4 linked regions of the Ovis aries genome follow. The protein of the gene in region 1 interacts with the protein of each later gene in a pairwise test. Links are inferred from orthologs where the notes say so. Each region holds a gene or a part of one and is shown in the gene's direction. Other genes may lie near its edges.

What was found.
Region 2: the proteins of CBY2 (region 1) and TXLNA interact in binary tests that used the Homo sapiens proteins (3 or more experiments, as listed by UniProt). The two-hybrid records come from large-scale screens. The link is inferred for Ovis aries from reciprocal best matches to the Homo sapiens genes CBY2 and TXLNA.
Region 3: the proteins of CBY2 (region 1) and ARMC7 interact in binary tests that used the Homo sapiens proteins (3 or more experiments, as listed by UniProt). The two-hybrid records come from large-scale screens. The link is inferred for Ovis aries from reciprocal best matches to the Homo sapiens genes CBY2 and ARMC7.
Region 4: the proteins of CBY2 (region 1) and CNNM3 interact in binary tests that used the Homo sapiens proteins (3 or more experiments, as listed by UniProt). The two-hybrid records come from large-scale screens. The link is inferred for Ovis aries from reciprocal best matches to the Homo sapiens genes CBY2 and CNNM3.

Annotation. Positions count from the first base shown.
Region 1 is NC_056063.1:16,145,165-16,150,866, forward strand, and holds the start of CBY2 (protein chibby homolog 2), read left to right. Parts: upstream 1-2,028; coding exon 2,029-2,082; intron 2,083-5,702.
Region 2 is NC_056055.1:235,341,842-235,347,454, reverse strand, and holds the start of TXLNA (alpha-taxilin), read left to right. Parts: upstream 1-2,341; 5' UTR 2,342-2,438; intron 2,439-2,552; exon of another isoform or gene 2,553-2,833; intron 2,834-2,915; 5' UTR 2,916-2,947; coding exon 2,948-3,125; intron 3,126-3,985; coding exon 3,986-4,324; intron 4,325-4,330; exon of another isoform or gene 4,331-5,410; intron 5,411-5,495; exon of another isoform or gene 5,496-5,613. UniProt on the Homo sapiens protein: May be involved in intracellular vesicle traffic and potentially in calcium-dependent exocytosis in neuroendocrine cells.
Region 3 is NC_056064.1:55,672,955-55,678,588, reverse strand, and holds the start of ARMC7 (armadillo repeat-containing protein 7), read left to right. Parts: upstream 1-2,362; 5' UTR 2,363-2,619; coding exon 2,620-2,710; intron 2,711-2,807; coding exon 2,808-2,951; coding exon of another isoform or gene 2,952-2,964; intron 2,965-5,634. UniProt on the Homo sapiens protein: As a component of the minor spliceosome, involved in the splicing of U12-type introns in pre-mRNAs.
Region 4 is NC_056056.1:103,718,092-103,723,753, reverse strand, and holds the start of CNNM3 (metal transporter CNNM3), read left to right. Parts: upstream 1-2,390; 5' UTR 2,391-2,425; coding exon 2,426-3,779; intron 3,780-5,662. UniProt on the Homo sapiens protein: Probable metal transporter.

The DNA of each region.
Region 1 (5,702 bases):
AGCCCGAGGGGCCTCCCAGGTGGCACTAGTGGTAAAGAACCCACCTGCCAATGCATGAGACATAAGAGATGCGGGTTCGATCCTTGGGTCGGGAAGATCCCCTGGAGGAGGGCATGGCAACCCACTCCAGTATTCTCGTCTGGAGAATCCCAGGCTAGAGCTGGGATTTCCCCCGGGGACAGAGGAGCCTGGCAGGCTTAGAGCCCGTAGGGTCACACAGAGTCAGACCGGACTGAAGTGACTCGGCATGCGTGCAACAGCGGCCCAAGACCCTTGACTGGCATCTGAGGTGGGGGCAGTTCTGTGGGGACTGAGCCCTTTAACTTGGGGGACCCGGCATTCACGCCAGGTAGGGTGTGTCAGAATTGAATTGAAGGACCTCCAATGGGCGTCAGAGAATTGAAGAATGCGTTGGTGTCAGAAAACATCTCAGACTCCATTTGTTTTTCTCTTGGTCTGGGAAGAGTTCCATTTGGGTTTCTTGCTTCTTGAGGAATCCAAGTAGAAGATGCCACCTCTGGAGAGAGGAAAGGGGTCTCAGTCCAGCCTGGCAGTGGAGCTGCAAATGTCAGCCAGGATGACCAAACAGGGGTCCAGTGTCTGGGCTATTGTGTGTCACACCGACCCTGACCGGCCACGTGGACACAACCAGATGCCTGGCCAGCAGGCCCCTCATTCCCACCTGTGATGCTCAGAGAGAGACCATGAGCCTTGAAAAAGACCGTATTGTTTTGTGATGTCACCTCTGGAATGTTCTGAGTGTTTTGGTGACCAACTTCTGCACAGGACCTATACCTGGCACCTAACGTTGGTATGGCTTTTTCCTTGAGCTAGAAATAGTAATCTTAGGAAAGCTAGTAGCTAAAGACTTTCAGAAGGCTTTGTCATCAACTATATAGACCTGTCTTAATTTCTGTTCAGAGATTGATGAAGCATCTTATCAGATACCATCTTCACATTCTCGTAAGGTACATAATTAACAGGAGGGGAGAAGTGAATAGTAGGAAGTCCTGTTTTGCAGTTGAGCAGCTGAGGCTCAGACGATGGGCTGGAAAACAGAAATCTGCCTATTTTCTCTTTTCCACAGCACTCGAGGCCAAATTTTACAAGAAAAAGAGATACCAGATCTGAAAGCCTAGAAATTCCCATCAATGTGGTTCTACCTCAGGTAGGGATGAACACTGAAGGCTGTAACCTCTCAGTTTTGGCCAGAATAATCCCCCTCTTTCCAAGCTCTAGCAAGATACTGCAGGTCAGTGGTAGCCAGGGCCTCAGATTCTAGCTGAAGGTCAGCTGCCAGCCAGCTGTGTGCCAGGGGCAGTCCACTTAGTCACTTGGAGTCTTGGGTTTCCGGTCAGATGAGAGGGTGGGTTCATTGATCTGGTAAGACCATCCAGCCCGACCACTAGAAGTTTCTGTGACAATCTTTTCAAAATTAGAGCGTTTGGAGCTTCTTTACCACCAGGGGGCACTAGTGGTAAAGAAACCGCCTGCCAATGCAAAAGACGCAAGAGACCCGGGTTCGATCCCTGGGTGGGGAAGATCCCCTGGAGGAGGAAATGGCAACCCACTCCAGAATTCTTGCCTGGAGAATCCCACGGACAGAGGAGCCTAACGGGCTACAGTCCAGAGGGTTGCAGAGTCGGACACGACTGAAGCGACTTAGCACACACCCACATTGTGCACTACTCTGGACTTCTGGGTAGAGGATTAGAACTGAGACTTGGGATCAAGGGCACAGGCCCGAACCCATACACCTGGGACATGGACCGAGGGGTCTGGGCTCCTGTGGAGGGGTCAGGAGAATTAGGGCCTGCCGTGTACCAGGGACAGAGCGTAAGGGGGATGAGCCTGGGGGGGTCAGAATGGAGGCCAGCGCACGGGCGACAGGCTGGACATTCTCAGTTCTCCTTCTGCTAAGCAGCCGTTTCCCGGGAGGGGTCCTCCTGATTGGATTGTTTCTGCTGCTATGTCACAAAGGGGGCAGCCTTGCTTCTCCAGAGTCACCTAAGGCCCTGGGGGAAGATCATGGCGGTGCAACCAGAGGGGCTGAAATGTAGGGTGGAGGAATCCAACGCAGAGGTAACGATCTGAAAGCTCTGTCCAGGGATGTGTGGGGAGAGGGTTGACTCCCCAGTGGGGTCTTGGAGGCATGAAATTAGAGTTCAACCTGCTGCCTGTGCCACACACGGGCAGATGAGCGTCCAGGGTACTCTGGAGGCGCACAAGTCCTGAGTCAGGCTCCAGACCCCTGCCAGGATGGGCTGGGCACACTCTGGGGGAAGCGTGCTCAGTCGCACCCGACTCTTTGCCACCCCGTGGACTGTGGCCCCGCCAGGCTCCTCTGTCCATGGGATTCTCCAGGCAAGAGTACTGGAGTGGGTTGCCATTTCCTTCTCTCTGGGGATAAAGGGGCACCTCTGCGTTTAGATGATCTGAGCGGGCTGTGAGAGGGACCAGTGTGCCGACTGGACCTCCCCAAAGGAGAGGCTGACGGCTGGTGGCAGGGGAAGGGTTGATCTGGGTCACACGGGGAAGAAAGGAGAGTGACTGCGCACTGGATTGGTCACATCGGGGCCCTGGGCCATGCAGAGCGAGGGAGAGATTGCAAAGGACCGGGAACTGGGAACCTCAGCAAGTCCACTAGTAATGGCGGAGCTGGAGTTAGAGGCTTGAAGCCAGGTCAGTGCCCACGTCCTCTGCCACAAGCTGGGCACATGCCGCCTGCTTCTTCCCTGGCTTTTAGGACAGGGTGCCTCCCCACCCCCCATCTTAACTGCCAAGCCCCTGCACGAATCTGCCACATTCTGCTCCGTTCTGGTTCTGAGACTGAGTCCATTTGTTTTGAGAAGAAATTGCAGGAGCAGCTCTGTGTCTCCAGAAAGTGCCTCTGCACCCCCCCAGCTCCCAACCCTGCCTGAACGCTTCTCATTTGCATTGCGAATGTCTGTGATTCTCTATTTGTTATCACCCTTAGGTCTTTTCGGGTCTTATTGATTTCCAGTTTTCCTTCCTCACAGTAAATATTTGTGTTTTCTAATCTGTTTCTCTCCAGGGCATTAACTTGCCAGCCTTCCCTAGTTACTTCCTTCCCAAGTTCTCTGCACGCCGCCCCTCCACCTCCCTTGCCCCCCCCCCCCCCCTTGCCCCCCCCACCTCCCTTGCCCCCGCCCCCCCCCCATTCCTTTTCTACCTACCGGTTCTCCCCAGCACTCCCATTTTCCCAGTGAGCACTCTCTGTGAATCTCATAAAGGCACTGTTTCCTGCGAGATTGTTAATGAAGGCTCCTCACCAGGTCAGAATAGGGTCCCATCACCCCTCCAGGGCCCCGCCTTGTCCCTCTCTGTTGCCTTTTTTCAATCCCCTTTGTTTGGGTTTGTTCTTTGGAAGCTATGGAATCTGTGGCCGACAATGCCTGTAGCTCTGCCAGTTTGAAAAAGTGTTAGGAGGATTTCGGAAGATTCTGTGTTAAACAATTAGCTAAAACTACCACATACGATGAGAGAGGACATCTTTAGCCTCTTTGCTGTTAGTATTAGGATTCTATCCAAATCAATTACATTGACCTGCAAATTATCCTCTTATCTGTTAGCGTTTATTAAAACCAACATTGACTTTCTCATGGCACTTGGGAGCGGAGTTGATTTAAGCATATGCTCGTGATACTCAGCCTTGTCACCTGGTCTGAAAATTAGTGGCAGATCTGGAGAATCCTAGGGACAGAGGAGCCTGGTGGGCTGCCATCTATGGGGTTGCACAGAGTTGGACACGACTGAAGTGACTTAGCAGCAGTAGCAGCAGCAGCAGCTGCCTTTCCTTCCAGCATATTCTGGGTCTCAGCTTCCCCAGGCTTGAAACGTAACCCCAGAGGGCTGAATATTCTCTGACCATAACCCTCAGTAATGCTGGCAAAAGCAGGGCTTTAAAAACACTTGGTCAACAGACTTGGAGTCTGCTGAGGGCATTTGGACGTCTCTTCTGGTCTGTGGAAGTGCAGAGAATCTCAGTGCCTGGCAACTAAACTGGCAAGTCACTGTCCAGTTCTGTTCCCCAACGCTTCAGATGGGAGGCCAGCAACCTCAAAAGCTCCATCCCCGAAGGTCCTATTCCTTAGATACCCCTTAGCTTCAGAAAGATGCTTTGGTCTTATTACCTCCCCTCTGCCCTTAGCCCTACCCCCGTTTCTAGCCACCATCCCTCCTGTGTGGGCTCCATTTGCCACACAAAAGGCTGGTGATCTGACCGAAGCATGCAGTTGGTTATCTCATACACTTTCCTTCCAGTACCACGTGTATTTTAAAAACGGATGCTGGGGAGAAGGATGAAGAGTGAAGAGTGAAAGTGTTAGTCGCTCAGTCACGTTTGCTACTCGGCAGCCCCACGGACTGTAGCCCGCCAGGCTCCTCTGTCCATGGGATTGTCCGGGCAAGACTACTGGAGTGGGCTGCCATTCCCTTCTCCAGGGGATCTTCCGGACCCAGGGATGGAACCAGGGTCTCCTGCATTGCAGGCAGACTGAGCCACCAGGGAGGCCCAGGGCTGATGCTGAGGATGGAGCTCAGCCACAGGTGGGATTCAGGCATCTGAGCGGGAGCTCTCGGGACCCAGGGCCCTTCCTGCGTCCTTAGCACTGATGCAGCTTCTTTAGGTCACAGCCGGGAGCACTTTGCTCCCGAGAGCAGCATCTCTGGGTCACCTTCCTAACAAAGCCACGGCCACACGTCTCCCCTCCTGCTTCCTTCCTGTATCCCGTTCTTCCATGAAGAAGCCCCCCGCTTCTCCTCTCCCACCTATGAGGGCATGTCCTACATGTCAAGGAAGAAACTGTCCTTTCTTTCTTGGAAACCGGGCCAGGCTGTGCTGGGGGTTTGGGTCATGCTGCCGGAGACCCCACCTCCGAGGCTAAGGAGAACTTTGAGGGGTGTTCCAGGGGCTTTTAATTGGCCCAGACCTCTGGTTCAGGGCTCAGTGACCCCAAGGGGCAGATTAGTTTGGCCCATGAAACCAAGCCTGTGATACCACTGGTTGAGGAGACCTACTGAGGAGCTGGCTTCAGATGTCAGCTAAGGGGGTCTGGGATTTGGTACCTCAAGTAGCTTGAGTCCTTTCAGATGCTCACTTTTTGTCACGTTCTTTCATAAAGACAGTTAGGATTTGCTCTAGTGTTTTAGGTCAGGAATGGTTAAGCTTTACCAGGAGAATTGGCCCTCTGTTTGGTCTTGATGACACCTTAGTAACCACTTTCTTGGCCTCTCACAGTAACCCCTGGCAGTAGACACAGCCACTGAGGTGACTTTCAGAGAAGCTAAATGACTTTCACAGGAGCTGCCAAAGATGGGACTTTTAAGCCCAAAGCTATTGGGAATTTGAGGTCTCTACCCTCATCGGATTATAAGTTCAAGATGGTGACATGGACAACCAGCAAGCTTGTGTGCAGAGGGCAGCTTCTTTTAAGGGCTACATAAGTGGACGTGGGTGGAAGCCCCGTGATGCAACTGCTCTGCAATTTAAAATGTGGATTGAAATGTGGATATGGCTGTACCAAGCAGACTGAAAATATCACGGCAAACGAGATCATCTCTTTGGAGAGCCCAAAATAGTATGATGTAACAGTGTTGTGTGCTGCTGCTAAGTCGCTTCAGTCGTGTCCGACTCTGTGCGACCCCATAGACGGCAGCCCACCAGGCTCCCCCGTCCCTGG
Region 2 (5,613 bases), on another chromosome or scaffold:
GAAGCACGAACTGGAATTAAGATTGCTGAGAGAAATCTCAGATATGCAGATGACACCACCCTATGGCAGAAAGCGAAGAAGAACTAAAGAGGCTCTTGATGAAAGTGAAAGAGGAGTGAAAAAGCTGATTTAAATCTCAACATCTAAAAAATGAAGATCATGGCATCTGGTCCCATCTCTTCATGGCAAATAGATGGGGGAAAATGGAAACAGTGACAGACTTTATTTTCCTGGGCTCCAAAATCACTGCAGATGGTGACTGCAGCCATGAAATTAAAAGACACTTGCTCCTTGGAAGAAAAGCTATGACCAACCTAGACAGCACATTAAAAAGCAAAGGTAGTACTTTACTGACAAAGGTCCATCTAGTCAACGCTCTGTTTTTTCCAGTAGTCATGTATGGATGTGAGAGTTGGACCATAAAGAAAGCTCAGCGCCAAAGAATTGATGCTTTTGAACTATCGTGACAGTTCAAGACTCTTGAGTCATCTCCAACTGCAAGGAGATCAAACCAGTTAATCCTGAAGGAAATCAATACTGAATATTCATTGGAAGGACTGATGCTGAAGCTGAAACTCCAATGCTTCGGCCACCTGATGCAAAGAACTGACTTACTGGAAAAGACCCTGATGCTGGGAATGATTGAAGGCAGGAGGAGAAGGGGACAACAGAGTGCACATGAGTTTGAGCAGGCTCCAGGAGTTGGTGATAGACAGGGAAGCCTGGCGTGCTACAGTCCATAGGGTCACAAAGAATCTGACACAACTGAGCGACTGAACTGAAGAGCTCTAAAACAATGCCCAATTCGCAAAATAATTCAAAATATTCTCTGCCGTCTCAACCCCTAGACTGATGTTAGGCTTTAGGAGTAGAGCTTTTAGCCAACAGTTTTGCGATGTTCAGTGACTTGTAAGCAAATAATCTCAACACCTCCCCACTAATGCTGGAACAGAACTCTGTCCAGACCTAGAAAGCTGAAACAAACTGCAGAGAACTGAAAAGGCTCTGAAGCAGCCTTTGAGTTTGGTGGGCCTCAAAAGATTTTGTTTCACCAAGAAGGGAATTTTGGAAGGTAGAACAGCACCTACAAAAACCTAGGAAGTCCTGGAAATAGTAAAAGTATAGATGGAATGAAAAAGGCTGACGGCATGGATAGAAACAGAAGCCATACCAGTTAGGCATTTAATCCAGCACACAGGTTGTTGCCTTTTATTTCACTAGTAGACAAATGGATCAAGTATTGCAGTCAGTCTCACATTTGTCTTGTGGTCTCATAAGGAGAAAAGCTTGGCTTTTTTTCCTCTTTAGCCCCAGTGCAACTGGAACTTTGTAGATGGTGCGCCAGGCAGAGAAAACACTCAAATCTGCTGAGGCCAAATTTCCCCTGGCAGGGCACCCTCAGTACCTTCCAAAGAGCGACTCGAGCTGGTAATGAAGATGGAAAAATAAGTTACTTTCCAAGTTATCTTGATTCATCCTCAAGGAAGGCCTACCATGGGTGGTTATTCTGAGTAAGAGGCAGGTAGTCCGATAGTTAGGATGGGTGCCAAACTTCCTGGCTTTGAATCTGCCCTCATCAGTCACTAGCGATGTAACTTTGGACAAGATAGCTAACCTGTGTCTTACAGTCCACAGCTGTAAATTGGGAATAACAAAAGTTACAGTATTTGAGATACTGGGGAAACTAACGTTTAAAAAAAAAAAAAACTATTAAAAACTTCTATTTGAATACAGAAACTGAAGTCCTGGGAGGGAAAAGAATGCCCAGTCACACAGCAAATTAGTGATGCAGCTGGGACTGAAATACAGGTCTGATGCCCAGCCCAGTATTCTCCCCCTACTCCTCACAGTTCCTAGACAGTCACAGATGTTCACATGGACAGAGGAGCCTGGCAGGTTACAGTCTGTGGGGTCGCAAGAGTCGGACACGACTGGGCGACTAAGCACAGACACACACACACACACACACACACAGATGTTCACAGCAGGAGGGACGGGGTAGTGGAGGCGTGCAGAAAAAAGTAGCCATCCGGAAGGCTCTAGGAGCTGAATCATAGCTTCTGCGTGATAGAAACAAGGTTGACGTGATTTGTGCAGAATGACTGGCTCCTTTCAGACCTCCTGGGTCTGCGGCTCCGAGGACTGGAGCCCTATTGCATCTTGGGAGTCAGGGGTTAGCCCCGATGCATGGAGGGACGCGTAGTCCTTTCCCTCCCCCGCCTTTCCAACTCACCCTCCTCGGAGGCCGCCTTCGCTGCATCTTTCCCAGCAAGCCCCGCGCTAGCGCGGGCTATTGATTGGCTGCGGCGCGAGCAGGAGGCTCTGCCGGCAGCAGTTATCCAGGGTTTCCGGTGCAAGGCCAGAGCGGGCGAAGCCGTCGGGGTGTCGGCGGTGGGGGTGCGTACGGCGGCGGCTAGGGGGAACAACGCGAGCGGAGGGTCTGTGGTCTCAGATGGTTTTGGCCGGTGCGGGGAATCGCGCGGGTTCAATGTGACGGCTCGGGCCTGGGGGGGGGGCGGGGGGGCAGGGGTGTGGCCTGTGCGCATGCGCGCGGGGGCGCGCGCGGCTCTTGGGCGCGCGGGGCGTGGGTGGCTGCGCTCGCGCGACGGGGGTGCGCCCACGTGGGGCCAGAGAGGCGGGGAGGAACCGGGAACCGGGAATCCAGCGTCCCGCCACGTCAGTCCCGGGCCTTGAGCCTGTTCCGCGTGCGGCTTGTGGTGAGGGGCCAGTGTTGTGCTGGGAAGTGACTTCTGGAAAAAGGAGGCCTGGCTGGGCACACCGGACAGACCAGAGACTGGGAGAACCGCTGACTCCCTCCGGTGAAGGCCTGCCGGTTTGTTTCAAGCTTCGCGCGCCCCCTGATATTGAGATTTATGATCCAAGTCTGGAAAATAGCAATGTGTTTGTTTCTATAGGATCTGCTCCTAACCTGACATTGCAAACTACAATGAAGAACCAAGACAAAAAGAATGGGCCTGCCAAGCAATCAGGCAACACTTCCAACCCCAAAAACACTCCGGGGCAACCGGAAGCAGGACCTGAGGGAGCCCAGGGGAGGCCCAGCCAGTCGGCTCCTGCGACAGAAGCTGAAGGTTCCACCAGCCAGGCTGCAGGGAAGGCAGAGGGTGTGTGCCAGCTCTGCTTTTCCAATGCGCAGGGGGAGGAGTTTGTGGCGCGCCGGTCTAGCTTCTGGAATTAGAGGCCCAGGCCACTGTTTACCCAGCAGAGAGGAAATGTGGAGAGGAGGCCAATGCTGAGTCTGCGCAGCCCCCACCAGGCACTGGGGAGTGGATACAGCCTCCCATTCAAAGCACAGGGGCAGACCTCCAGACAAGGCTCTGACAGGATTAAGTCAGGTTGAGGTTGGCAGTCAGATGAGACTTCCAACCAGCAAATCCAGGTTAGAAACACCTCATTCACAAGTGGGTAACTGATGTTTATACTTGAGGCATTTCTGGTGCTTTTTTTTTTCCTCTCCCAGAGAAGGATTTATTACTTGAAGAAAGTAAAGAGAAAACTTGATTTCCCAAAGCACTGTCTCCTCCGAACTGTTTTTGTTTTTTTTTTTTTAAGACAGCACCCAGTGGCTTGCAGGATCTTAGTTCCTACCAGGGATGGAACCTCCCCTCACCCGGTGAAGCCCAGAGTCCTAACCACTGGACTGCCAGGGAATTCCCTGGAACTTTTTTAATATCAAGAGGCAACATTGGCAGGGTGGAGAAGGGAATGGACTAGAGTTGAGATGTAGAGTTCCTGCTACATGATGGCACCCCTGTGTGTTGGATGGTCTGCTTAGTTGATTTTTTTTATGCTCAAAATAAGCGTGGTTGGAGAGTAGTGAGAAATAGTTGGCTTATAGGGAAGTAAGCTAAGGCTTAGAGAATTTAGGCAACATTTACCCAAACCAATATGTTTGGGCCTGAAAAATCCCAACTAGCGGCCTAACCATCTTATTTCCCTCTCTGCCTTTCATCCTCTCCTGTAGGAGCACAAGCCAAGAGTGCTCAGTCTGGAGCCCTCTGTGATGTCTCTGAGGAGTTGAGCCGCCAGCTGGAAGACATCCTCAGTACATACTGTGTGGACAACAGTCAGGGGGGCCCAGGTGAGGATGTGGCACAGGGTGAGCCTGCTGAACCCGAAGATGCAGAGAAGTCCCGGACCTATGCCTCAAGGAATGGGGAGCCTGAGCCAGAGACTCCAGTAGTCAATGGTGAGAAGGAGATCTCCAAGGGGGAGCCGGGCCCGGACGAGATCCGGACCAGTGATGAGGTCGTAGACCGAGACCACCGAAGGCCACAGGAGAAGAAGAAAGCCAAGGGTCTGGGTGAGCAGAGAACAGCTACTTGTGAGGGGAGGGAGTTTGGACCTGACATACCTGGGCCAGCCCACTCTGCAAGGATTCAGAAGAAACCTGACTTCCAGAGCTGCCAAACCACATAGTCTAATCAAAGCCGCGACAGTGGGGCCATCATGTAGAGGTGTGCGGTTGTTCATTGCATTAGGGGAACAAGTGCAAACCAAAGGCCAATATACTCTTTGAGAAGATGGGAAGCAGGAGTCATCAGTAGGCATCCTGTGCCATCACCATTTCTAATTTGCTCTGTGACCTTAGGCAAGACAGTTCTCCTCTCTGTTCCTTAGTTTTCACTTCTCTACACAATAAGAGAATTGGACTAGACCAGAGTTGAAAACTCAGAGAAGTTAAGCTTAGCCAGAGGGCCCCAGGAGACCAAGAGAATACCTCATTTATCCAAAGGCTTGACTGCCACCTGGTCCCAGTGAGCTGATAGTGTGTTAGAACTGTAGCTGGCTGCCTTTTTTAGCCACAAATATAGTTACGTGAAATCTCTAGATTTGTAACAGTTGGCAACTAACAGGATAGGAGCCAAACAAAACCCATCTGTGGGTTGGATTTGGCCTGTGTGCCAACGATTTGCATTCTCTGCATTGGTCTCTCAGAGCCTCCGGGGGTTGACACTTCAGGAACCTGTCACAGTGCTATGCATGGTGGCCCCCTCTGACTCAGGCACAGGCAGTGGAGGAGTCACTTGGGTGGGGATGGAGAGTGAGTGGGTTAAAGAAGCAAGGTGATGTTATACCCACATCTTATGGGGTCACTACTCCCCCACCCCCTCCTTGTTATCCTAATTTAAAGAAGTGTGTAGGTTTTTTTTTTTAATTTTATGATCAGATATCGAAAGGTATATTTATTTATTGGCAGGGGTATAGTCATTTTAAAGTACACTGTTGGCTGCCTCTGTTGACTGAAGTGCAGTGTTCTTGAGGAGACCTATTCCTTTTGTGTCCTTCCTTTTTCAGAAGGGCTTTCTTTGCATTGAAAGTGAAAGTCGTTCAGTCGTGTCCCACTCTTCACAACCCCATGGACTATACAGTCCATGGACTTCTCCAGGTCAGAATACTGGAGTGGGTAGCCTTTTCCTTCTCCGGGGGATCTTCCCAACCCAGGGATCAAACCCAGGTCTCCTGCATTGCAGGCAGATTCTTTACCGCTGAACCACCAAGGAAGCCCTACTTTGCATTGAAACAGCACTGAATTCACAGGTGGGATACCTTTTTTTCACCTGTAGGTAGAGCAGGCAGTTTTCTTTCTCC
Region 3 (5,634 bases), on another chromosome or scaffold:
ATCAGGAGAGAACTGATTTTCTTTTTATGACCTGCTCCAGCCCTCCAGCACAAGTCCAACTGGCATGAGTAAGCACCCTTCTGGATATTGTCTTTTCCAGGATCCACGAGTGCCCCCTTATGGCAAAAAAAAAAAAGTAGTATAGAGGTGAGGCAAAGGGCTCTGAGCTGGCATGGAACCTGAATTGATGTTTGACTGCCACAATTTGCTGCCTTGACTCTGGGCACGCAGAAAACAGAGAAGGTTGGCCTAGATAAGCTAAGGTCTCTTCCAGTCTGAAAAGTCTGATCCTAAAGACCCCCCACTGCCTCCCTGTGCCCCAACCTGTCTGCACTTGGTCACCATCCACAGCTTGTACACTGAAGGGAGAATGCACAGCTGGGCACATTTTATCATGTCCTGCCTCCTCCATCTTAACTGAGTGGAAGAGGAGAGAGCTGGGGCTGGTGGGTGGGTGAATACTTTTTTTTTTTGAAGCACTACATGCGCGGCATGTGGGATCTTGAAGTTCCCTGACTAGGACCAAGGACCAAACCCATGCATACCCTTCGCAATGGAAGTACGGAGTCTTAACCTCCAGGGAGGTCCCTAGATGAATCCTTTTTGGTGCTAGTAGCCACATGGCTTTGAAACATGCATCCCCTTTTAGGCCCACTCTTGAAAACATTTCTTTTCAAGGAAAAAAGATATTAGTAAACATTTAGGATAGAGAACTTTGACCTCCTCTGCCTGCCCTCCCCCACTCCCTACCCTGGGCAAGAGTGGCAATCATTTCTGGGCAGAATTCCTTCAACAAATATTGAGCTACTGTGTGTCACGAACTGGGCAGAGAGGAGTAAGACCTGGTCACAAAACCAAGGACTTAAAGAATTCTTTGCAGAGGTGAGGGCCTCGGAAGCCTTAATTCAGTTCAGTTCAGGCACTCAGTCGTGTCCAACTCTGCGACTCCATGGACTGCAGCACACCAGGTTTCCCTGGCCATCTCCCAGCTCTCTGGAGCTTGCCCTAACTCATGTCCATTGAGTAGGTAATGCCATCCAACCATCTCATCCTCTGTCATCCCCTTCTCCTGCGTTCAATCTTTCTCAGCATCAGGGGCTTTTCCAAAGCCTTAGGAGGGGGCAAGTAATGGAGGATGTGATGGCCCATCAGATTCCAGAATCCACACTTGGCTGATCCTGGGATTCCTCTAGAGAGGGTCCAGAGCAGTTCCTGACCAGTGTGGGGTAGAGCCCACTTCTGTCCTGTCCCTAGATCTTTACTGCTCCATCCAGACAGGAGCAGAGAAGCCCCCTGGCCACATTGGGCTGAGATAGACTTCCCCAGGTCGAATCAGCTCTCCTTAAAATGTGAAGGTTCTGGTGAGGGGCCTGGGGACACTACCCTGCAAGAAGCAGCCAGGGTCCCCAAGCCCCAGGTGTGTGCATAGGGCTGGGGCTGATCACAGCCACCTGAGCCCACCAGGTGGGGGCTGCTCCCAGTGGGGCTGTGGCAAGCTGGAGTGTGGCAGTCACTGTCCTTGCGCAAGGCCCTTGCCCTCCAGAAATTCACAGCCTAAGCCGCTTCCACCCCCACATTTTGAAACACGCTGGAGTCCAAGAGGGCCACCTTCCTCCCTGGTGCTCTGTCACCTGACCCCTTCCTGAGAAACTGAGAAAGGACTAGATAGGAGGGCTTCAGCATTCTGGGCTCCCCACAACCCAGAAAGCCACCAAAGTAGTATTTCTGGGGTCCGATGGTGCTGCCCCGGGTGCGCCCCGCCACCTGGCAGGCTCAGCTCGGGACTGGGGAGCAGAGGATACCAGGCGCGCTGACTTGTTTTCATCTTGGCCTCGCCTCGGGCATACAGGGTCACAGTTCCCCCACCAGGGATCCAAGCGTGTCCCCTCCACTGGGAGCAGAGTCTTAAGCACCGAACCACCAGGGAAGTCCTCACTGGGCTTTTGGGAAGAGCCGACCAGAAGGTAGTGTCAGAAGAGCCACAGAGGGGACACAAGGAGCAGGCGCTCGCGTTTCCACGGCGTCCCTGGATGGTGGAGGGGCGGGGACTGCGGCCCATCGCCAAGCGCGGGTGCATCTGAAGGTGCTTCTACCCCGACAGTCCCCCACACAGGCGACCCCCGGCACCTCTGAGCTCCTACGGGCCCTTGGGGCTCGCCTCAACACAACCGCAGGCTTCAGTCACCACTTCCATCAAGAGGCGGATCGCCGCCTGCGAGAGACAAAACGCTGGAAGCGGGCCCACGCTCAGCGACGGCCCCGCCCATCGCCCCTCGCCTCGTCGCCCCGCCCCTTTGGCCCTTTGGGCGTGGCCAAGTGCCGCTTCCCCCGGAAGTCCGGAACCAAGCCGAACGTCCCGCCCAGCTGGGACGGGCCTTCCTCACGCGGCGCGAGAGTGGGTCCTTGTCTCCTGGTCCCCGACTTAGGTGTTCAGTCCCAACTCCTACGAGGTTCTGAGTCCCCACCGCGTCTCCCACAGCCCAGTCTCAGCTGCAAGCTGCTGGAGAATTCGTTTCCCCTCCCCGGCCCCGCGAAGCCAGGTGGGGTCCTAGCCCCGCGCCCCAGCCTCAACCTTCCACACTCTCCCGCCCGCTCCCCGGGGCCCCTCGCCGCCCGCCCATGGCCCAGAAGCCGAAGGTAGACCCCCACGTCGGTCGGCTGGGGTATCTGCAGGCGCTGGTCACGGAATTCCAGGAGACGCAGAGCCAAGGTGAGTGTCTCGGGGTGGGGGGCAGGGGGGGCTGGGCCGGGGTCCAGCCGCGACCACCGCCCCGACCCTGGCGCCACTGCCCGCTTCTCCATCGCAGACGCCAAGGAGCAAGTGTTGGCCAACCTCGCCAACTTCGCCTATGACCCCGGTAACTACCAGTATCTGCGGCAGCTGCAGGTCTTGGATTTATTCCTCGATTCGCTGTCGGAGGAGAATGAGACCCTGGTGGAGTTTGCTATTGGTAAGGATGGGGCGCTCTCCTAGGTGCCTGATGAGGTAACGAGTTAGAAATGAGTTGTTGGGAAAGGGCTCTTCGGCCGTCTCTCAGCAGCGAAGGCAGACTTTCGTAGTGTCTGTAATGCCTCCGCGGCCAACACAGCGTACAGGTTCACGGGTGGCTTGAGTCTGGCCTGGAACCCACGCCCAGGACCATTTCTACCTGTCTACCTTCCCTGTCGGTTAGAGGTAAGATCATAAATGGGAATGGATTGAAGCCCCTTGGAGGGGCGGGGTGGGGGCGGGGGAGTTGAGCGCTCTTTTAAAACCTCTTTATCTTATATGTTTCACCATCAAGAGAAATAGCGTTCACTCGGAAGGGCTTATGGCACCTGTAGTTGTTCTGGTCTCAGACCTATTGATTTATTCACACGTCAGGTGTTTGTTGGGCTGGTACCCTGTGAGCAAAGTATTGTTCTAAATGCTGGTGAGATGGCCAACAAGTTGGGAAAAGATCTTTGCCCTCAGGGAATTTACATTCTAGTAGAGAGAGACACAAGGTTTACACACAAAAGAAGCTGAGGCACTGAAGAAAACAGGCTGATGAAGAAGAGCAAGGGAAGGAAGGGACTACTTCTGGTTTGGCCCTGGCGGGAAGGCACAGGCCGGGCCAAGACCCCAGAGCAGGAGGAGCCAGAAGGAAGGCTGATGTGGCACCATTGTGGTGAGTGAAGCCCAGAGTGGTACTAAATGAGAGAGAAGGATTTAGTGCTGCTAAATTAGAGAGCACCTCGCACCAGTTTACAGGGATTCAGATCTAGGCATTGGGTGGGAGTTTGGAGTTTATTCTGAGGGCAAACCAACATTCCTGGAACTTCCCTAGTGGTCCAACAACTAGGACTTTGCTTTTCCACTGTAGGGGCGATGGGTTCCATCCCTGGTTAGGGAACTGCTGCTGTTGCTAAGTTATTTCAGTCGTGTCTGACTCTGTGCAACCCCATAGACGGCAGCCCACCAGGCTCCGCCGTCTCTGGGATTCTCCAGGCAAGAACACTGGAGTGGGTTGCCAGTTCCTTCTCCAGTGCATGAAAGTGAAAAGGGAAAGTGAAGTCGCTCAGTCGTGTCTGACTCTTAGCAACCCCATGGACTGCAGCCTACCAGGCTCCTCCGTCCATGGGATTTTTCAGGTAAGAGTACTAGAGTGGGTTGCCATTGCCTTCTCTGGTTAGGGAACTGAGATCCTGCAAAAAGCAAACAAAACCAACATTCTTTCTGCAGCATGTGTCTTTAAAAAATAACATTTCTCTGCATAGTGAAAGGAGTCTTATCTTCATAGGGAATGAACTTAATAATTCCATTGTCACCAAATACCCAGTTAGGCAGACTTCTCTAATAGTTCCCAAGCGGACATTTTTTGTTGTTCTGTATAAACCAGGATCCATGCTCTTAATCTGGTTGTTATGTACGTTAGATCTCAATCTCTCGCTCTCTTTTGAAAGAAACTTTGTATTTTATAACAGTAGAAAAATTGCGAAGGTAATACAGAGTTTCTATGTATACACACCGAGTTTCCTTATTATTACCATCTTACATTAGTATGGTACACTTGTTACAATTAATAAGCCAATAGCAATAGTCCTGTCTAACTCTTTGCAACCGCATGGGCTGTAGCCTGCCAGACTCCTCTGTCCATGGGATTTCCCAGACGAGAATATTGGAGTGGGTTGCCATTTCCTTCTCCAGGGGATCTTCCTGACCCAGGGATAGAACCTGCGTCTCCTACACTGGCAGACAGATTCTTTACCACTGAGCCACCTGGGTACCCCTGTTATTAACTGAAGTCCATGCTTTGTTCTGATTTCGTCACTTTTTCCCTCATAACCTTTTACTGTCTCAGGATTCCATCCAAGATCTTATGTTAGATTTAGGCTCCTTTGGGCTTTGCTGGTTTTAGACTTTTTCTTTTTGTGAATGACCTTGGCAGTTTTAAGGAGTACTGGTCAGGTATTTTGTAGGTTTTCCTTCAGTTGGGATTTGCCTGACATTTTTCTCGTTATTAGACTGGGATATGGGTATTGGGGAGGATGACCACAGAGGTAAATGGTAAAAGGCCATGACATATCTCCTCCAACTGAAGCTATTTTGGGAGGTAGAGGGGGGTGCTTCCCACGTGGGATCTTAGTTCCCTGACCAAGGATCGAACCTATGCCCCCTGCAGTGGCAGTGTGGAGTGTTAACTGCTGGACCACTAGGGTCTCGACTCTGCAGAAAACTTTGCTAAAAAGAGCAGTCGGGAGGGAGGTGGGAGGGGGGTTCATGTTTGGGAACACGAAAAATAAAAATAAAAAATAAAAAGAGCAGTCAGCCAAGGCGAGTTTTTACAGGATCAGGAAGCACCTTTCCCAAGGCAGGAGACCTCTGAGATCCCACCCCACTGAGCCGGGGGCTCCCAGGGTGGGTAACCAAGCCCTGGACCCAGAGTCCACGGTCCCCACTTCACTTTGTAGCTGATCCTTGTGGATGAGTCCTATCTCTTCTGAGCTTCGTTTCCTCATCTGAGCCTTGCCTGCCTTGCAGGACTGCCATGGGGAGCAGAGCTGTTGTGTCTGTGTGTCTGTGAAGGCACTTTGTCTACAATCGCTTGTATCTTTATCACCAGTTTTCCTCTTCACGGCCGCTTTTTCTTTCTCTTTTTCTCCTCCTTCCTA
Region 4 (5,662 bases), on another chromosome or scaffold:
CGTTTCAGCCTCTGCTACATGCCACGTGCCACCAACCCCTCAGGCTATCTTCTCCACCTGGAACGTTCTCCCAGGTCTTTGTGAGGCTCACCCCTTGCTTCATCTAAGCCTCTGTTCAAACGCTGCCTCCTTGAAGAGGCCTTCCCATCAGACCACCCAAAAGAGCTTGGCCCCCATCCCTCTGTCCATCTCCTCATCTTGCCTGGTTTTTTTTCTCTGTAGAACTTAACTGTCACGTATTAAAATAAGGATTTGTGTATTTTTTGTTGTCCTCACACTAGAGCTTAAGCTCCAGCAGGTCAGGGTATTTGTTATTTCAACTGCAGTCCCGGTGCACTGCAAGCACCGGCTGCAGGAAATACTTGTTGAATGAATGAATGAATGGGCCTTACCAGAAGGTAAGTACCGGATTTTATTGGAGGGGAGCATGCTGCTCCTATAACCTTGATTGAACCTAGTAACGATGGTTGAGGAAAACTGGCTGGAGGAAGTGACGTATAGACGAGAGGAGGAAGAGTCAGTCAGGGGTCACACACATTAGTTATGGGTTTAAAACTCAACAGTAAATATTTCGATAAAACATGGAAATGTCTTGAGCTGAATGGCCAGAAAGGAAAATCGCCCATGGGGGACCTGAAAGTCTGGTGACAAGTGTCTCCACCGAGGCTGTGATAATGGACTAAAGAATGGTGCAGAGCCAAGCAAGACAGAAGCTGGTAAAGTGGTGTGGGACCTATGTTGTTCACAGAAAGTCATTCATGGGCAACTTTGTTTGCCCTGCACTGGATCCTTTGGGTCTCATGGTTTAAATCATCATTTGTGTTTTCCAAGTGTGATCTGATTGTTCTATCCAAAGGTTTCCCTGCCAAAATAAGTTACAAGGTTGTTTTCCAAGGGAGTCTGGGACCAGAGGAAAAGTAACTTGTCAGAGGTCAGAGCCCTGTGTAGATGTACTGGGCGTTTTTCCCACCTTGCCTCTGGAACTGTTCTTTGCTGGTTAACTTTTCAGGCATGTGGCTCATTTCAAGCTGTTGTCCATTCTATCTGTGTCAGCATTTTTATCTGGACTTGGAAACAGAAGTGTGAACCAAAGGGACTGAGTCTATTATTATTTTTTCAAAAGAGGCATGCCAGTCCGGTGGAAAGGGTCAAAGGTCATAATTGCTTCTGCTGGCAGCTTATTCTGGAGTTTTTCACACAATACTTTTGTTGGTCACTCACCACAGGTTTACTCATTTTTGCACATTACCTTCCACACAAGTATATTTCACTTAATTGTGACCACAGTGCCTAAGCTTTTTAATAGTATTTTCATGACAACATATGTGTTTCTATACAGCCCTTGCAAAGACCATTTTAAATGACACGTATATGGATGCTCTTATCAGTCTACTTATGTTAGGAAAGTTGAAAATACATAAAAATGCAGAAAATACAAAAAAACCATTTTGTCGGGACACTTATAGAGAAGTCTTGTTAGCTTGCGTGTTTCCTTCCAACCAGGTAAAGTTCACATATAACAGGTTGAGGAACATTCCATACTGTCAAGGACCATACAGTCTTCTAAAACAACAATCCTGGGAGGATCCTCTTGAATAGTTCCTGTTGGTCGTTAGGAATTACTTTCCCAAGGATGCTCTCCTAGAAGTGAAGTGACCAGATACAGTAATTTCTGACAGAGATGCCAACTCCTAGTGTTGCTGGGATGGCGACAGGATATTAGGCTGGTCGCTTTGGAACCCCTCATCCGTGCCCGAGTAGTGTTCACTTTTCTCTAGTAAAGTGTATCAATAACGAAGTAGCTGCGAGGATCCAATGAGGCGGTGATTTCGTGTATTTACGTCCTTCGTTCTCTCTGGCAGGGGTGCAAGTTCATCTAAGGAGGGACTGAGTGTGTGTCACGTCCCAGACCCATAGCAGAGTCGCGCGCGATCAAGGAATACTCTCAATAAGCTTTAGCTTCCGACGCCCGGTCGTCGGTTCTTTTAGCCCTCTTCGAGGTTTGGGTCGTCGGTTTCTGAGGAAACGGACCGTCTCCCTTCGTTAAATTATCTATCTGCAATTTCAGGAGCTCCACTGCTCTCGGCGGCCCAAGTGCCGAGCCAGGGACTTCCCAGAGTACGGGCCTGGCCTCCCTGCGCTGGGGACGGCCGAAGGGAACTAGACCCCCGCGGAGAGCGGGCCAGCTGGCCGCCCAGCGTCCTCCGGGTGCCGCGGCCCAGGCCCACAGGGCCCAGAGCCCCACGCCCCCGGCCCGCCCCGGGATCGCGCCGCGCTTGTTTACTCCCCGGCGCAGCCTAGTCCGACCCTGGGGCCCGCCCCCGCCCGCCGCCTATTGGCTGAAGAGGCTCCAGGGCTGGCGACGATTGGCCCGGCGGAGGCGGAGAGGTAGGCTGCACGGGAGGCCGAGAGGGGGCAGCAGGCGATGGCGGCGGCGGCGGCGGGTCGGCTAGGCTGGTTGCTCGCCGCGCTCTGCCTGGGCAACGCCGCTGGAGAAGCGGCGCCGGGCCCGCGAGTGCTGGGCGTCTGTCTAGAGGAGGACGGAGCGGCGGGCGCGGGGTGGGCGCACGAAGGGGAGGTGCGGGCCGCGCCGGAGGCCACCTTCCGCTTGCGCCTCTTCGGCTCGGGCTTCTCCAACAGCTCCTGGTCCTGGGTGGCTCCTGAGGGGGCGGGTTGCCCCGAGGGCGGGCCGGCCGTCGCGCCCGACGAAGCGGCGGCTCCCACGGGCGAGTGGCGTGCGTTGCTGCGCCTGCGCGCCGAGGCCGCGCGCCCGCACTCTGTGCGGCTGGCGGTGCGCGGGGAGCCGGGGGGTTCGGCGGCCGAAGAGGCGGCAGCCCTCACGGGCGAGTGGCGCGCACTGCTGCGCCTGCGCGCCGAGGCCGCGCGCCCGCACTCGGCGCTGCTGGCTGTGCGTGTGGAGCCGGGCGGCTCGGCGGCCGAGGAGGAGGCGCCGCCCTGGGCTCTGGGCCTGGGGGCGGCGGGGCTGTTGGCGCTGGCGGCCCTGGCGCGGGGCCTACAGCTGAGCGCACTGGCGCTGTCGCCCGCCGAGGTGCAGGTGCTGCGCGAGAGCGGCTCGGAGGCGGAGCGTGCGGCGGCGCGGCGCCTGGAGCCCGCACGGCGCTGGGCGGGCTGCGCCCTGGGCGCGCTGCTGCTGCTGGCCAGCCTGGCGCAGGCGGCGCTGGCCGTTCTGCTGTACCGCGCGGCCGGCCAGCGCGCCGTGCCTGCCGTGCTAGGCAGCGCGGGGCTCGTGTTCCTGGTGGGCGAGGTGGTGCCGGCCGCCGTGAGCGGGCGCTGGACGTTGGCGCTGGCGCCGCGCGCGCTGATCCTCAGCCGCTTGGCGGTGCTGCTCACCCTGCCCGTAGCGCTGCCGGTGGGCCAGCTGCTGGAGCTGGCGGCGCGGCCAGGGAGGCTGCGCGAGCGCGTGCTGGAGCTGGCGCGCGGCGGCGGCGACCCCTACAGCGATCTCAGCAAGGGCGTGCTGCCCTGCCGGACAGTGGAGGACGTGCTCACGCCCCTCGAGGACTGCTTCATGCTAGATGCCAGCACCGTGCTGGACTTCGGCGTCCTGGCCAGCATCATGCAGAGCGGCCACACGCGCATCCCCGTTTACGAGGACGAGCGCTCCAACATCGTGGACATGCTCTATCTCAAGGACTTAGCTTTCGTGGACCCCGAAGACTGCACGCCGCTCAGCACCATCACCCGCTTCTACAATCACCCACTTCACTTCGTCTTCAACGACACCAAGCTGGACGCCGTCCTGGAGGAGTTCAAGCGAGGTAACTGTTGGGGAATCGCGGAGGGGACGCGAATGTCAGCTCTCTCTCCCCAGAGAAAGAGTGGGGTTTAGGGAAGCCTTGGGGAAAGGTCCCAACCCGGTGGACGACAGGGAGGCCTCTGAGCGCCCTTTTAATGAAGTTGATGGTTTTTTAGCTCTGAATGAACTTGCAAAATATCATTTAAAGCCTTTGGTTCCGAAAATGACAATACTATAGACAACAAAAAGCTTTTCCGGGCAGGCCCCCAGTTTGGGGAGATACGTGTGCTTGATTCTAACTCTCCAGCTTTTTACCGGCTCATTTTTGTGGGCTTGGGCTTTGTGGCAGGTTCGGACTCTTGGATAGAAACTGAAAGAACGTAGAGTATACGGTCTAGATACCTGGACGCTGTTGTTTGCACATATGTAATACCAAACTAGGTGAACCTGTGATGTTTTTCCAAGGCGTCCTTGTTAAGGTCAGTGATGGGCTGTTGCCTTCCTGGTTACAGAAAAGGGTATGATTGATCATTACTTCCTGCAATGTGAAAGAAACTTCCACTTTGATTTCACCAGAAGCAACTTGATGGAGGCCAGTCAGTCTCCCCTTCCTTTAAAAACAATAAAACAAAACCCAAGTAAGGGCTCAAGTCCTCTTAACTCCACATTTTTGTCCTCTCCTTTGACCCGGGTTCAGGTGAAAACTGAGACCCTCCCATTGTGAAGGTTCGGGTTCTCCGGCAGTCTCCCTCTTGGTGATTGGGCTTGAGGTCCTCCCCAGAGCTTGGTCATGCTTCTCACACCGGAACTTCTGTAAGGACACTTCTGGACTCTGAATGAGCTTGACCGTAAAGACTGCATAATTGAGGCCGAGAAGTGAGCAAGGCCCCCTCATAATGACTTCCTGATAGCTGTGAAGTCTCCAGGTCCCAGGATCCCATAGGAGGTTCCCTGTGAGCCCCTGGACTGTCAGGGCAGGGAGGCAAAGCTCTGCCGTAGTGACCATTAGTACTGCTGCATGCCAGCCACTAGTGGGCACCCTCCTGCACCATCTCCTTAGTTTTAAAGAATTAGGCAGTTACTGTTGCTACTGTTTCTCAGGATTGGGTGGGAGACTTTGATGGGCAGCTCTGGCTGCTGCCCTGGAGAATCTCTGGGTGCTTCTGCTTGTTTCCTCAGAATGTAGCCATGCAGCCCTGCTCTGCAGGAGAGGAGCCCGGGATCCGGGCAGGCAGAGCCTCCTAGGAGCAAGTGCTCCATCTCCGAGTAATATGGTATTTCTGAGGCAGTGGTGGTTCTCGTGGCTGTGTGGCCAGCCGGGCTGGCCCTGGAGTCAGCAGGGGAGGGTACCATCCTGCCCCTGCCATCTTTCAGCTTGAGGCCAGGCTTGACCACCAGGGCGGTGGCTGCAGGCAGAGCATAGCACCCTGTTTAAGTGGTTTCCACAGATCACTGACTGGTGTGGAGACCAGAGTAGGGGGGTCCCCGTGGTTGGGGGGCCCAGTGAGAGGTGATGGTAGCCTGAACAACGGTGCTCAGTGAGCGTAGAAAGGAACACCCAAGAGGGCACTGGAAGGTGAACTTAGGATTTTGTGGTTTGCTGAGGGGCTGTGGGAGAAGGCAATGGCAACCCACTCCAGTACTCTTGCCTGGCAGATCCCATGGAAGGAGGAGCCTGGTAGGCTGCAGTCCATGGAGTCAGTAGGAGTCGGATAGGACTGAGCGACTTCACTTTCACTTTTCACTTTCATGCATTGGAGAAGGAAACGGCAACCCACTCCACTGTTCTTGCCTGGAGAATCCGAGGGACGGGGGAGCCTGGTGGGCTGCCGTCTATGGGGTCTCACAGAGTCGGACACGACTGAAGCGACTTAGCAGCAGCAGCAGCAGAGGGGCTGTGAGGCG